Rattus norvegicus: one gene and its partners. The protein of the gene in region 2 interacts with the protein of the main gene of each other region in a pairwise test. Links are inferred from orthologs where the notes say so. Each region holds a gene or a part of one and is shown on either strand. Other genes may lie near its edges. The genes, in order: Rabggtb, Wdr4 and Fam118a.

Region 1 (4,183 bases), on a different chromosome or scaffold from region 2:
AGTGTGGCGTGCTGACAAGCCAGCACGGGGCATGCTGGGACTTCCAGCAGGCCATTTTACTCCAGTTAGACCAACTGCTTAGTGGGACCTGAAAAGATGAACAACTTGAAATCTTATGATTACTACACCAAGACAAAAGATGCTCCGAGTGGAGTAGCTTGACTAAAAAAAGTGAAAGCCGATCTTACCCCAGATGTCTCCAGCAAAGGAACCATCTTCTTTCTGTAGACTCTGAACATAGGCTACCACTTTGTCTACGTTGATTACATGGATGCTATCATACAGAGTGAGAATCTGAAAGACAAGCATCGCAGGAATTTGTCCTGGGCCAACCACCATGCCCTTCCCCATTACTATAAATGGCTCACACGCGCCGGCTGTTACTCATTTCATTACAATTTCTTATTCCTTTGATAATTTGACAGAGGTAGGCTTTACCCGCCCTCTCGCTCCTCACTAAAACCAACTCTAACCTGGACTGACACAGATGCATTTTACCCTCCCAGGTCTCAGTGCCATTTGTAACTTGCATCAAGTTAGCATTCAGCTAATACATGCCATGACATCACTGACCTGTAGGAGAGAATTCACTCTAAAGGCGGGCAATTAACATTTGGGTCGTCACATAGGGTCAATGTTTCACAAGGGCTTACCTGGACAGCACTGAGCGTGTAGAGAAGGTGGGGGTCGTGCCCGATGCTGGCACTGACTCCCCCACACTCATGCTGGCACGACTTGATAAACACCAGTATCTCCTCTTTATTCATCCGATGAAGCTGCCCCATGAGGTCCATCACTGTCAGGCCCCAGTAGACGCCGCTCATTCTCAAGTATTCGGACATGCAGTATTCCTGGGAGAAGTGTCTTAAATTTGTCACTCTTGACTACAAAACCCACCTTTACCTAGGTCAGCTGTGAACAACTTTAAGAGCATCGGTTCTCACCCCTTTGGGTCCGACATTACAGCAAAATTAAGTCTTGAACTAATGAAACTATCTTATGGTTGGGGCTCACCACAACATGCAGAACTGTATGGTACGACAGGGTTGCAGCATCAGGAAGATTGAGAACAAACTTTAATAGTTTCCAAGTGCCAACTTCAGGTGAATTTAGTAGGCAACATTCACTCCTTCAGTCTACCAAACACCAATTACTGCATTTTACAAGGTCTATGAATACGGAGAGATAAATGGTGCTGGAGATGGAAACCAAATCAAGCATCATTTCACAAGCGTTCACTCAGGTACAGGTGTCATTGGTGTGCTGCCAAGCCAAACCAAACGCCTAAAGGGCCAGGCGGACAGTTGACATAAGGACCATTTAGGCCTATGATTCCCCCCCTCCCAAAATAAGGGTCTGATTACCCATGTGATTCCTCTTTGGAGAGGGTCTCCCCACAAAGCCCGGGGTTTCCAGCTCTACCCCTTGCTGGAGATTATCACAGGGGTGTGGTAACCTCCCTATTATACTGTTTAGGTAAAACCTTTTCAAGGTCTCAGCGTAATTCTAGAGCTCAAATGTTAGGACACATCAGCAAATTCAGATAATACATGCCAACACATCATTGACCTTCAAGGTTATACCCCAGACAGAAAGGAGTAAACCCCTTCTACCTGCATCCCTGTATTCTGGCCCTTTGTGTACCGGTATGCAAGGCTAATGCTATCCAGTATCAACCTCTAGTATACCAGGCCCATCTATCCTAATGGACTTTAAATCAGGCCTCTGCCAACAGACAACGCTTTAAGAAACAGGCCTGTCCATTAGTATTAAACTAACAAGAAACTCATACACACATAATCATCTTTCTTTGAGCCGTACGAGGCGATATAATCAGCATGCTTCTCGAGCAGCAGGGTGTCAGGCGCATCTGACTTGATGGTGACGTCCTTCTGCTGTGTGCCCTTCGAAGAAAAACAGAGACTGGATCATTACGTTTTCCTTTCGACATCCTGAAAACTTGACAGCCCAGACTCGTATGACCAGATGACGGCACTTTTTTTTTCGGGTCTCAGAGTAATTCTAGAGCTAAAGTGGTTATTAATCAACTTTAGATTCAGAATACATGCCAGCTCATCATTGACCCGAATTCTGCCGCTCACCTTTTTGCCGACCAAGTGCAATACACACTCTCGATCGGTGAATTTGAAGCTTCAGTGCACTGTTCAACAGTCCTCAAATATTATCTCCTTTACTAAACGATCAGGCCCATTAGCTCCAAATTTCACCTTCGGATCTAAGATATTCGCCATCACCCATTAAGTAGGTCAAAGCAAATCCACTGCCAAATAAGTTATTTTTCTATTTTGTTCAGAGTCTCGGCTATGAAGCCCTGTGTGGTCTGGAACTCCCCGTGTAGACCAGGCTGCCTGCTACTGCTTCAGGAGTGATACGATTAAAAGGCGTGGGCCAAGGCCGGCCTTCTTCCATCCCAATTAGAATATTTAACTTTGAAACAATATTCGTAAATGATCATTGAACCCTGAAAAAAACAGGCACACACAAGTCTCCGATGCAAAGGGAAAAAAAAAAAAGGCGGCTCAATCCAGAGAGGCTCGCCTACGGGCCGCGGATAACATCACAACCCTCGAGAACTGCAGAAAACGCTGAGCCATTGCTCAAGGAGCGGTCTAAGACCGGCCTCAGAAGGCCGAGGCAGGAGCATTGCTGAGAGCTCACAAGAAGAATGCAAGAAGAATGCTAGCCTTGCATGCCCGCCCGCTCCCCGTGCTGCGCCAGCCCACGATGCGGAGCAGCTTGACCCACCGCCCAGGCCTCCCCAACTTCCGCGCACCAAAGCGATGTCGCTCTCACCATGTCCGACCGCCGAAAGACTGAAGAGCGCGGGAGCACGGAAAGTCAGGGTCTGCGCGCCTGCGCACAGGCGCCCGCCCGGCAGCCCACGCCCTACCTAGCCGGCCACGCTCCGCCCGAAGGACCCCGCGGTCACGATTTAGCCGGCCGCACTCCTGCCTGAAGGACTCCGCGGTCACGGTGCAGCAGGCTATGCGTCTGCCTGAAGGACCCCATGTCACTCAGTTTGTAAAGAGCTTTCCTAGCACTCAAAGAGGCCGGGGGTTGATTTCAACCTTTGCGTATAAACCCGAAGTGTTAGTGCAGACCTATTATCTTAGCAGTGGAAAAGTGGTGGCAGGAGGATCAGTGGTCCAAATCATCGGCCGTGTAGGCACTTGGAAGCCATCCTGAGCTAGAGGTCCCTACCTACTCCCCATAAAATTGATCAATTTTAGTGTGTCTGTTACCCAGCTAATGAAAAATATATTGCCACATATATTACTATGGAAAAATACCATGTGAAAATGGATGCTTGGGTTTGATTCCAGAAACCGCTAGAATAAGGCTAGTTTTTCCACTCTGTATTGGTAAATTTGTATGGTTTAACTCTAACTTTTAATATTTATTTTAAAAGCCCCAAGCCTTGAACTCACAACTGAAAATGCTAGGCATGCTATCTCCCCAGTCCACTTTGCCTCTTCAAAGACTAAAATATGCCTCCCGACCCCAAAGAACTGTTGCTGCAATAAAACAGGTCTATAAATTCTTCTATCTCTCCAAAGCCAAGATGTCAGATACAGCCACGTCAGGGATTTGAATGTGGCCAGTCTAAACTGAAAAATGCTGTAGTCATAAAATACAAATTGTGTGCCAAGCTTCTCATTTTGAAGTTTGTTTGTTGACTGCCTTCTGAATATCTATGCTTATGCCCGTAGAAAACGCTACTCTCAGCCCAAATCAGATAAGCCTTTCTATGCAGGGGACGACAGTGAATACAGAGATTCACGACTGCCCAAGGTTATCTGGAGAATACATTAGTTGAGGGATGACCTCTAAAAGCCTAGTGACTATCATAAAAGAGGGCAGCAGAAAGAATATAAGAGAAGATAATAGGAAAAGGCCCAGAAGCCATCTTCTGAGCATGACAACCACTGCAGCCTTGAACTCAGAGCCACTGTGTTTATCTGCACTGAGCTTCACACAAATGACCCTGACGGACAGTCACGGATGAGGAAGGGACTCAGGGGCCCTGCCCCTCTCTGCTGACCTAATGGGTACAGACACACACTGGGAAATGGGGAGTCATTATTCAGACGTGTGCCTGCTGGTAAGCTGACCAGGCATCGGTGGACTGCTCCAACCCCATGGTCATACAGGCAGCCCCAGT
Region 2 (4,198 bases):
TGCCACCCCCACATGCTGTTAGGACTCAGTTAATACTCGTAAAGCTCTGCGATCAGTGTCTCACTCATGGCTGGTACGTCATGTTAGCTGCTGATTACAGTGGTTACTGTCACTATGGCTACTGACATGCAAGTACTAGGAGTGCATAGGACATCTTAATGACTCGGTGTTAGCATTTCATACCTGACACTCAGACATTGCCATGGTTTTGTACGGAAAAGAATCAGACGCTTACTGTCATCAGTTAAAGCAAAATAGCGGCCAGACTTGGAGAAGGTGGACGCCAGAATCGTGTCACTCCCCCTGTCTGCGGGCTGTCCGTCCTCCCTGAAAGGGCAGGGGAAGAAAGGGAAAACAATTAGGCCTCGTGTGAGTTGCCGGGCTTGTCCATTCTAACACAGGTAAGTAGAAGGCGCGTGGTCAGGCACTTCGTGCAGCCAGAGCATGATGAGAGATTAAGGGGACCCAAGCATGAAACCTAACACAAATGCTAATTAATATCCAGTGTGGGCTGGAAGGACTCTCAGCGATCACGTGGCCTAGCCCTCATAGACATGGACTAATCCAAGGCTAGAAGCAGGGGTTGATAAAATTCATGACACACTGAGTCACAAGTCCAGGCCACCACACAAAACAGTCACACGCTGCTTCTTACCTTTCAATTAGTTAACTCCCCACACCTGCCCTCAGTGCATTTCGTTTGAAACGGTCACTCTTACTTTAAGGAGCCAGTAACAAAAATGAGTACTAAAGAAATTAAAACAAAAGAACCTAAAAGTTCCCCGGGAAGGTCCCACATAGTCTGAATGCCCACAGTCCAAGTTGCTTCCATGTTTCTTTCTGAACTGGAATGCACAACAAGGGAACAGGAGCCAGGACTTCAGCAGGCTCACCGGTCTCAGCGCTCAAACCACAAGCGACCATGCTTCCCCACCATCTCACCCTTTATCTTCCTGCACGGACTTCTTCTCGGCAGTGCTGCAGTCATACGAGAAGAGGCAGTCATCGTCGCTAAAGGGAAGAGATAGGCATGAGCAGTTATTAACAAACACACATGATTACTGCATCTTACCCTGGGAACAAAAACACATCACTGTCATTACATCATGGGTCTTATCCATGACAGAGAAGAGCCAAGGACTGCCACTGCTTAACCTGTCAGCATACATCATGAACAGTCGGCACGGTCCTGTTCTAAATCAGTTCAGTGTGGCATGGCGGTGCAAGCCTGGAATCAATGCAGTCTTCTTCCAGCCACCAACCTGTTAATTCTAAATTATGTTCTGATATGGTTTTTTGTTATGGTGGTGGTTTATCTGTGTAGCCCTGGCTGTCTTGGAACTCACTCTGTAGACCAGGCTGGCCTCAAACTTGGGATATCCACCTGCCTCTGCCTGAGTGCTGGGATCAAAGGTGTCCACTAGCGAACCCCAGTTCCCCCACTCCCCTCCCCCCCGGCCACCCACCCATTCTGATATTTTCTTTTTAAAAAATTATTTATTATATATGTAATGTTCTTCCTGCATGCATGCCTGCATACCAGAAGAGGGCACCAGATCTCGTTATCCATGGTTATAAGCCACCATATGGTTGCTAGGAGTTGAACTCAGGACCTCTGGAAGAACAGCCAGCTCTCTTAACCTATGAGCCATCTCTCCAGCCCTCTGATAATTGTTTTCAACTCAGCTTTGCTCTCAAATTTAAAACCGCTGAGGTTGTCCTTACATAATTCAGAAACAAGTCTCACCTGCCCCCATGAGCCTCTGGCCCTTACTCAGATGAGAATCACATTCCAAATCAGAACTTAAGCTCCCTTCTTTTGCTCTGACCTGTAACCTAGCACATTAAAGCATCTGGTACTATTGACAACCCATAAAGCGGCTTTATCAAAGACTTTTCCAGTTAAACACTTAACCGCAGAAAGAGAAATCATCTTCCAAGTCCGAAACTTTGTTGGGCATTCCCCAAAAGGCACAAACTGAGGAACAATTCCTAATCTTCAAACATCTAAGTACCGAAGCTAAACGGGATAGGGGGGAAAAAAGCCGACACGGACTGCCACTGATTCTCTAGGTTGGTGGTAATCAACTACTTGCTCAAAGAATACTATCACCGAACACGACGTATACATAAGGACAGAAATAACAAAGCAAAACGTTATGTCATGTGAAGGGCCTTTAGGGAGATGCCCACTTCAGGCTCCGCAAGCATCCTGGGTTTGGAAGGTGTCGGGTTAAAAACCTCGAAGGGGGTTGGGGATTTAGCTCAGTGGTAGAGCGCTTGCCTAGGAAGCGCAAGGCCCTGAGTTCGGTCCCCATCTCCGAAAAAAAAAAACTCGAAGGGCAACAAAAGCCGGGTTGCTGGACGCAGATGAGGGAGAAGGAGCACGTTTTGCGCTCAGTAAGAACCTGCAGGGTTCCCTAATACATGATTCTCAACAGGAAGATTCCAAACGGGTCAGGATTGAAGCCAGGACCCCCCAGAAGCCTGGGCAATGAGACACCCACGTGACTTAGCCCTCCCGACGCCGCGCAGGCGCCACAAAGTCCGGAAGTGCCCCTACTCTAAACCGAGAGCGCGCCCCGGACCTGCCGTGCAGATTATGGGGCTATAGGTCCGGGTGAAGGGGCGCCGAGGAATCCGGGAAGACACGGAACATGGCCGCTCCGGCCTCGCCGCCCTCAGCACGAGCCTCTTACCTGCTCGCGGTGGAGAAGGCTAGGAACCGGCTGCCTCCTCGCACCACCAGCGTCTGGGCGCACAGTGCCAGGCCCGCAGAGCTCGCCATGGGCCCGTCCGCCGCCTCCGCACACGTGCGACGCTCAGCGCCCTTCCTGGTGGCGCCGGCCAGTGACGTCACCCGGCACCGCGCGAATGGCGTGCGGGGCAGGAGCATGCGCACAGGGAGAGGTCGCATTTGAATACCTCGGAGGTGCTGATGCTATAGATTCCCCGCGTGCCTTTCGCGTTGATTGACTTTTCCGCCCGTCAGGTTAGGTGGTTCCTCTTGGACAGAGCCTGGTACTCAGTTTGTGCCGTTTTAAAAAAAAAAAAAAACCTGCGTGACATTAGTACTGGATGGCCAGGCCCAATATGTGACCATGTGTGATTACAAATCGCTGGAAATGTGCTACTTACGGTCCTTATGAAAGACAAAGACGTCTTGGACCCCAACTGTCACACGTGTGTATCGAACGGTGTGCCTCCCCAGATCACCAAAAGACTCGTTCCATCCATCCCAGTGACTCACGACGTCCAGAATGCTGTGGTCTCTTTTGGTTGGGTGTAGACCCCCCCAAGACAGCTCATAAAGAGACGGTTCATCTGCTCCACCCACCCAACACACCCGAAACCTATTTCAAAGTCACACTTATTATACTGTGTACAATTGCTATCTCTAGGCTGGGAGGTTCTCCGGGCGAATCCATCTTTTTTTTTTTTTTTTTTTTTTTCTTTTCTTTTTTTCGGAGCTGGGGACCGAACCCAGGGCCTTGCGCTTGCTAGGCAAGCGCTCTACCACTGAGCTAAATCCCCAACCCCGGTGAATCCATCTTATAAAGCAGCCGTTGTTGGCTCCATTTTTACCTCAAACTGAGTCAGAACAGCTCTTCGTTTTTACTTGAGCAAGTTACACAACATCTGTCTAACAGCATGGATTGATGAGAACTACTTCTGGAAGCTGGGAGGTGGCGGCACAAGTCTTTAATCCCAGCACTTGGGAGGCAGAAGCAGGCAGATCTCTTGAGGCCAGCCTGGTCTACACATTGAGTTCCAGAATGGCCCGGGCTAGACAGAGAAACCCTGTCTTTACATAAATAAATAATAAATAAATGAACAAGGGGTTGGGGATTTAGCTCAGTGGTAGAGCGCTTGCCTAGCAAGCGCAAGGCCCTGGGTTCAGTCCCCAGCTCTGAAAAAAAAAAGAAAAAAGAAAAAAAAAAATAAACAAACAACTAAAAAATCACTTGTGCAAATGAGACCACCGCCTACAAATGTAATTAAGATAAATAATGGGTGAAGTTAAATTGTATCAGAGAAGCCAGGTCTTGAGTTTATCAAACATCATAGCAAGGAGAAATGGAAGCCCTTTGCCAGGCTACAGAGAGCAATGATCTAATGCTAAGGCACCACCACCACCACCACCACCACCACCACCACCCCCACCCCCTCCCCGGTCACCATGCCCTCACACAGGCAT
Region 3 (3,535 bases), on a different chromosome or scaffold from region 2:
GGTGCAGAACCTCCAGCTGCTCTGCAGCCTCGATGACGGCCTCGATGCAGCTCCTCCAAGAGCAGAGAGCCCGGATACCTGGGGCCACCGCTGCGCTCACGCCGGTCCCAATGACCAAGAGCAGGTCCTGGGGTTGCTTCCTAATGAGGCTCTTTAAAAACTTTCTATTTAAGAACAAGGAAGAAGGAAGCCAACTGTAAGCTTGGAAGTATGGAGATTCCAGTCTGGAAATATCTAGAACATTCAGGTCACAAATTTGCCTTTCTGTTCACTACCAGAAAGCAAAGTCCCTGCAGTCTACAGTGATAAATAATTTACAGGTGACTATGAACAAAAAGTTCAGCCCTCTCCTCCTCTGACACTGCAAATAGCTGGTAAATCAGCACTGTAAGGAACAGAGTGATCTTGTGTGGTTACAGGCAAGAGAATTTCTAAGTGGGCCTCCTAAAGCCCACTGCATTCTCCAGGTTCAGCAGTTCACTCTGCATCATTTTCCAGTAAGTGAGACCTGTTGTCCATGCACAGTCCTGTAGCCCTTCTCCACCCCACCCCAGCCCCCAGTTCCATGTTGCTTGGACTGGAGATGGGGGCTCGGGTAGCTTCTTGGAGCAGAAAGCTACTTTCTGGAATGTTTCTTGTGTTGGAGCAAACCATGGTGAGCAGCCATGGGTCCCCTTCCCAGTCTCCCTACTGCTGGGGGCAGTGCTACATGTCCCCAATGTGATGTGAAGTCAAGAACCCTCTACAAGGAACTAGCTACTTACTTACCTGCATTTCTGTTCACTTCTGTTCGTTGTCTTTTCCACTGACTCCATCTGTGAATCCTAAAGAGAAGAAAGATGTTTGATGAGTGCTCGGAAAACTGTAGAGGATGAAACTGAGTCAAAGGTCCTGACTCCCCTTTAAAATACCCAGAAAGTGCCATCCAGAAAAAGTCCTACACAAGTGGTTCCTCTGTGGCCACTAACCTTGCCTAGCTTCCCAGGTCAGGTCTTGAGTGTCTTCTGAAGATAGAAACAAAAACATTCACACAACAGCCAGATGGAGCAACTCTGGTGAACTGGCTCCAGGTAGTGTGCTTTTACCCTGGAAATGTCTCTTTAAGACAAAACCATCTAGAAGTCTCCCTGAATTCTAGAGCTAGTATTTATTATACAAGGAAATAGGCAGAGAACCTGGTGTGAAGGCCTACAACTACTATCACTGAGAATTATAGTGCCATTTCCCCCTTTTCCACCCAGCTTTTTAATATTTTTCATGTCATTTGAGAGCCAAGTACATGTCCTAGTTTTAGTTCCCCTGTGTTGTTAGAAACTACTCAAAACTAAAAGTCAATGTCACACAGGACTGAAAACCTGTGTTCACACTCAAATCTTTATTCCTCTTGAATTAGAATTAGGTCACCAAAAATAACTCTAGGAGAGACCACACAGCTCAACAGATCTCTAAATCATACCTTCAGTCTTGAGAAAATGGTATCCTGTAGTCACCCATGAAAACATTTGCACACATTCACCCTCCCGCCTTTGAGGGTACACTCACAGCTTCCACCAAAATCTCTGAGGGTCCATGACCTTTCCTCGGTGCTAAGAAACCAGTTCATGGATCAAAACCTGAAGCTGGTGGAGGATGCCACCTGCCCAAGGGACAGAAGGGCAGGGAGTGTGGCCTCCTACATCACTACAGTTACCATATAAAATCAAGTCTATTTTGGCTTTGTAATCTATTGGAAATTTTCTAAGGCAAGTTATGACTATTCTATTTCATATAACCCCTCCACTGCAAATAGAAGCCCCATGGATCCCACCCCAAGTGTCCAATGAGCCCACATATTTATCTATTCTGCTACGAACTGTAAAGCATGGATTCCTGCTAACTGGCCAAACTTCCAAGCTCAGTCCTCTTTGGAGAGCAAGTACTCTGCAAACCAAACTGCTGGGCCAGGCAGTGGGGCTGTGTCCCAAAGCTGAAACCAAGTGTCAGGACCCCGAAAGACAGAACACTGAGCTATCCTGCTGCATTTCCTGTTTGAACTTAACTTGAGCACACTCCGTATCTTCAGAGTGGTTATGCCTTCCTGTCTGGGGGAGAGCCCTTCATCTTAGCCTGCTCTAACCAGCACTTTATAGCTGACTTCAGCCACTGGCAGTCTGTGTGCCCTAGAAATGACACAGCCTCAACCTTTACCACATAAAAGATTTTTAAAGTTTCTAATTCCTTCCTCCTGTTCAACTGCTTTTCACTCACCATACACCTGTAGGTATCAGTTAAAATCCAAAATGTGTACTTCAACCTCTACAAAGTAACACAAAAGCAAGTGATTTCAGTTCTCCAAGAGACCCAGAGACACAGAACAGAAGGGAGCTCTGGCCTGCACAGGCATGCTGTGGCTGGTCCCTGTTCTGCCCTGCCTCAGCATGAGTTGAGGGATCTGGAGAGTCTCTGCAGCCAGCCCCAATATTACAAGGGTTCCCACCATAATGAAGAGGGGCCTCTGTCTGGGCTTTTAAGCTGCTGAGGACCTCAAGAGATCAAAGCAGCCAGCAGGGGACGCACAAGACTTCCTCTCAGGACCCATGTGGTGATGAACTGAATAGCTGCCCATATTTAGCCATTTATAGTTCTTTATAAACACTACATGCTTAAAGACATTACCTCATTTCCTGTTTTTCAGCAGCCAAAAGATCAGAGCCAGATCTCATATAATTATCCAGAGATTGTCCAAAATCTCCCCTTTGTTTATAAACCAAGGCCCAAGTGAGAGATTTTCCTAGCCTGACCTCTACTGGCAAGTTTTTGGAGGCCAGTCTATCTCTGATTTACCAGTCCCTTCTCAAAGGCCACTCTTTTAAGCCAATCAGATTCCAGACTACAGCAACAAAACCCTTCAGAGGCCTCTCAGATGCTGCAGCTTTCTGTTTCCTAGGTGACCATGTCGTCACTAGTTTCCAGACTCAAAACCAAGTCATCATAGCAACACATTTTTTCATAAAAATCTACCAGTATTTTCTAAATGTAAATTCACGCCAAAAGCAGATCTCAAAACAGTTACTATCCTTTTTATCTAAAACCTTCAGCAGAGTCTTAGCAGAGTATTTTGTGCCTAGAATAAGAAATCCTACCTATATTATGAATGAGCTCTGCAGTAACTAGACTGCCTTGTTTTTTTTTTTAATCCCTTGACATCCAACACTAAGTACATGTTCATCAGAAGGGCTGGAGAGATGGCTCAGTCAGTGGTTAAGAGCATGTACTGCTCTTACAGGAGTCCTGACTTTTGTTCCCAGCACCAATGTCAGCTGGCTTATCACCTCTAGCTCTAGGGGATCTGATGCCTCCACGGGCACCTGTACTCACATGCATACACTCCCACAGTGTATACTTTAAAATATACAAATTTTAAAAACATTTCATCATCAGAGTTCAAAAGGTGACTGAGTACAGAAGAGGAACTGATCATCTTCATAAAGCTGTGAAGCAGAAGCCCCACTTTCAAGCCAACACAGTAGATCACTGACAATGCCCTAAACCTCCA

The links.
Region 1: the proteins of Wdr4 (region 2) and Rabggtb interact in binary tests that used the Homo sapiens proteins (3 or more experiments, as listed by UniProt). The two-hybrid records come from large-scale screens. The link is inferred for Rattus norvegicus from reciprocal best matches to the Homo sapiens genes WDR4 and RABGGTB.
Region 3: the proteins of Wdr4 (region 2) and Fam118a interact in binary tests that used the Homo sapiens proteins (3 or more experiments, as listed by UniProt). The two-hybrid records come from large-scale screens. The link is inferred for Rattus norvegicus from reciprocal best matches to the Homo sapiens genes WDR4 and FAM118A.

The regions. Positions count from the first base shown.
Region 1 is NC_086020.1:245,507,947-245,512,129, forward strand, and holds the start of Rabggtb (geranylgeranyl transferase type-2 subunit beta), read right to left. Parts: upstream 2,834-4,183; 5' UTR 2,818-2,833; coding exon 2,815-2,817; exon of another isoform or gene 2,795-2,814; intron 2,086-2,794; exon of another isoform or gene 2,006-2,085; intron 1,905-2,005; coding exon 1,797-1,904; intron 1,571-1,796; exon of another isoform or gene 1,490-1,570; intron 852-1,489; coding exon 654-851; intron 575-653; exon of another isoform or gene 504-574; intron 295-503; coding exon 189-294; intron 77-188; exon of another isoform or gene 1-76. UniProt on the Homo sapiens protein: Catalyzes the transfer of a geranylgeranyl moiety from geranylgeranyl diphosphate to both cysteines of Rab proteins with the C-terminal sequence -XXCC, -XCXC and -CCXX, such as RAB1A, RAB3A, RAB5A and RAB7A.
Region 2 is NC_086038.1:9,601,892-9,606,089, forward strand, and holds the start of Wdr4 (tRNA (guanine-N(7)-)-methyltransferase non-catalytic subunit WDR4), read right to left. Parts: upstream 2,828-4,198; 5' UTR 2,789-2,827; coding exon 2,700-2,788; intron 1,012-2,699; coding exon 943-1,011; intron 328-942; coding exon 184-327; intron 1-183. UniProt on the Homo sapiens protein: Non-catalytic component of the METTL1-WDR4 methyltransferase complex required for the formation of N(7)-methylguanine in a subset of RNA species, such as tRNAs, mRNAs and microRNAs (miRNAs).
Region 3 is NC_086025.1:118,038,845-118,042,379, reverse strand, and holds part of Fam118a (protein FAM118A), read right to left. Parts: intron 825-3,535; coding exon of another isoform or gene 816-824; coding exon 769-815; intron 165-768; coding exon 1-164.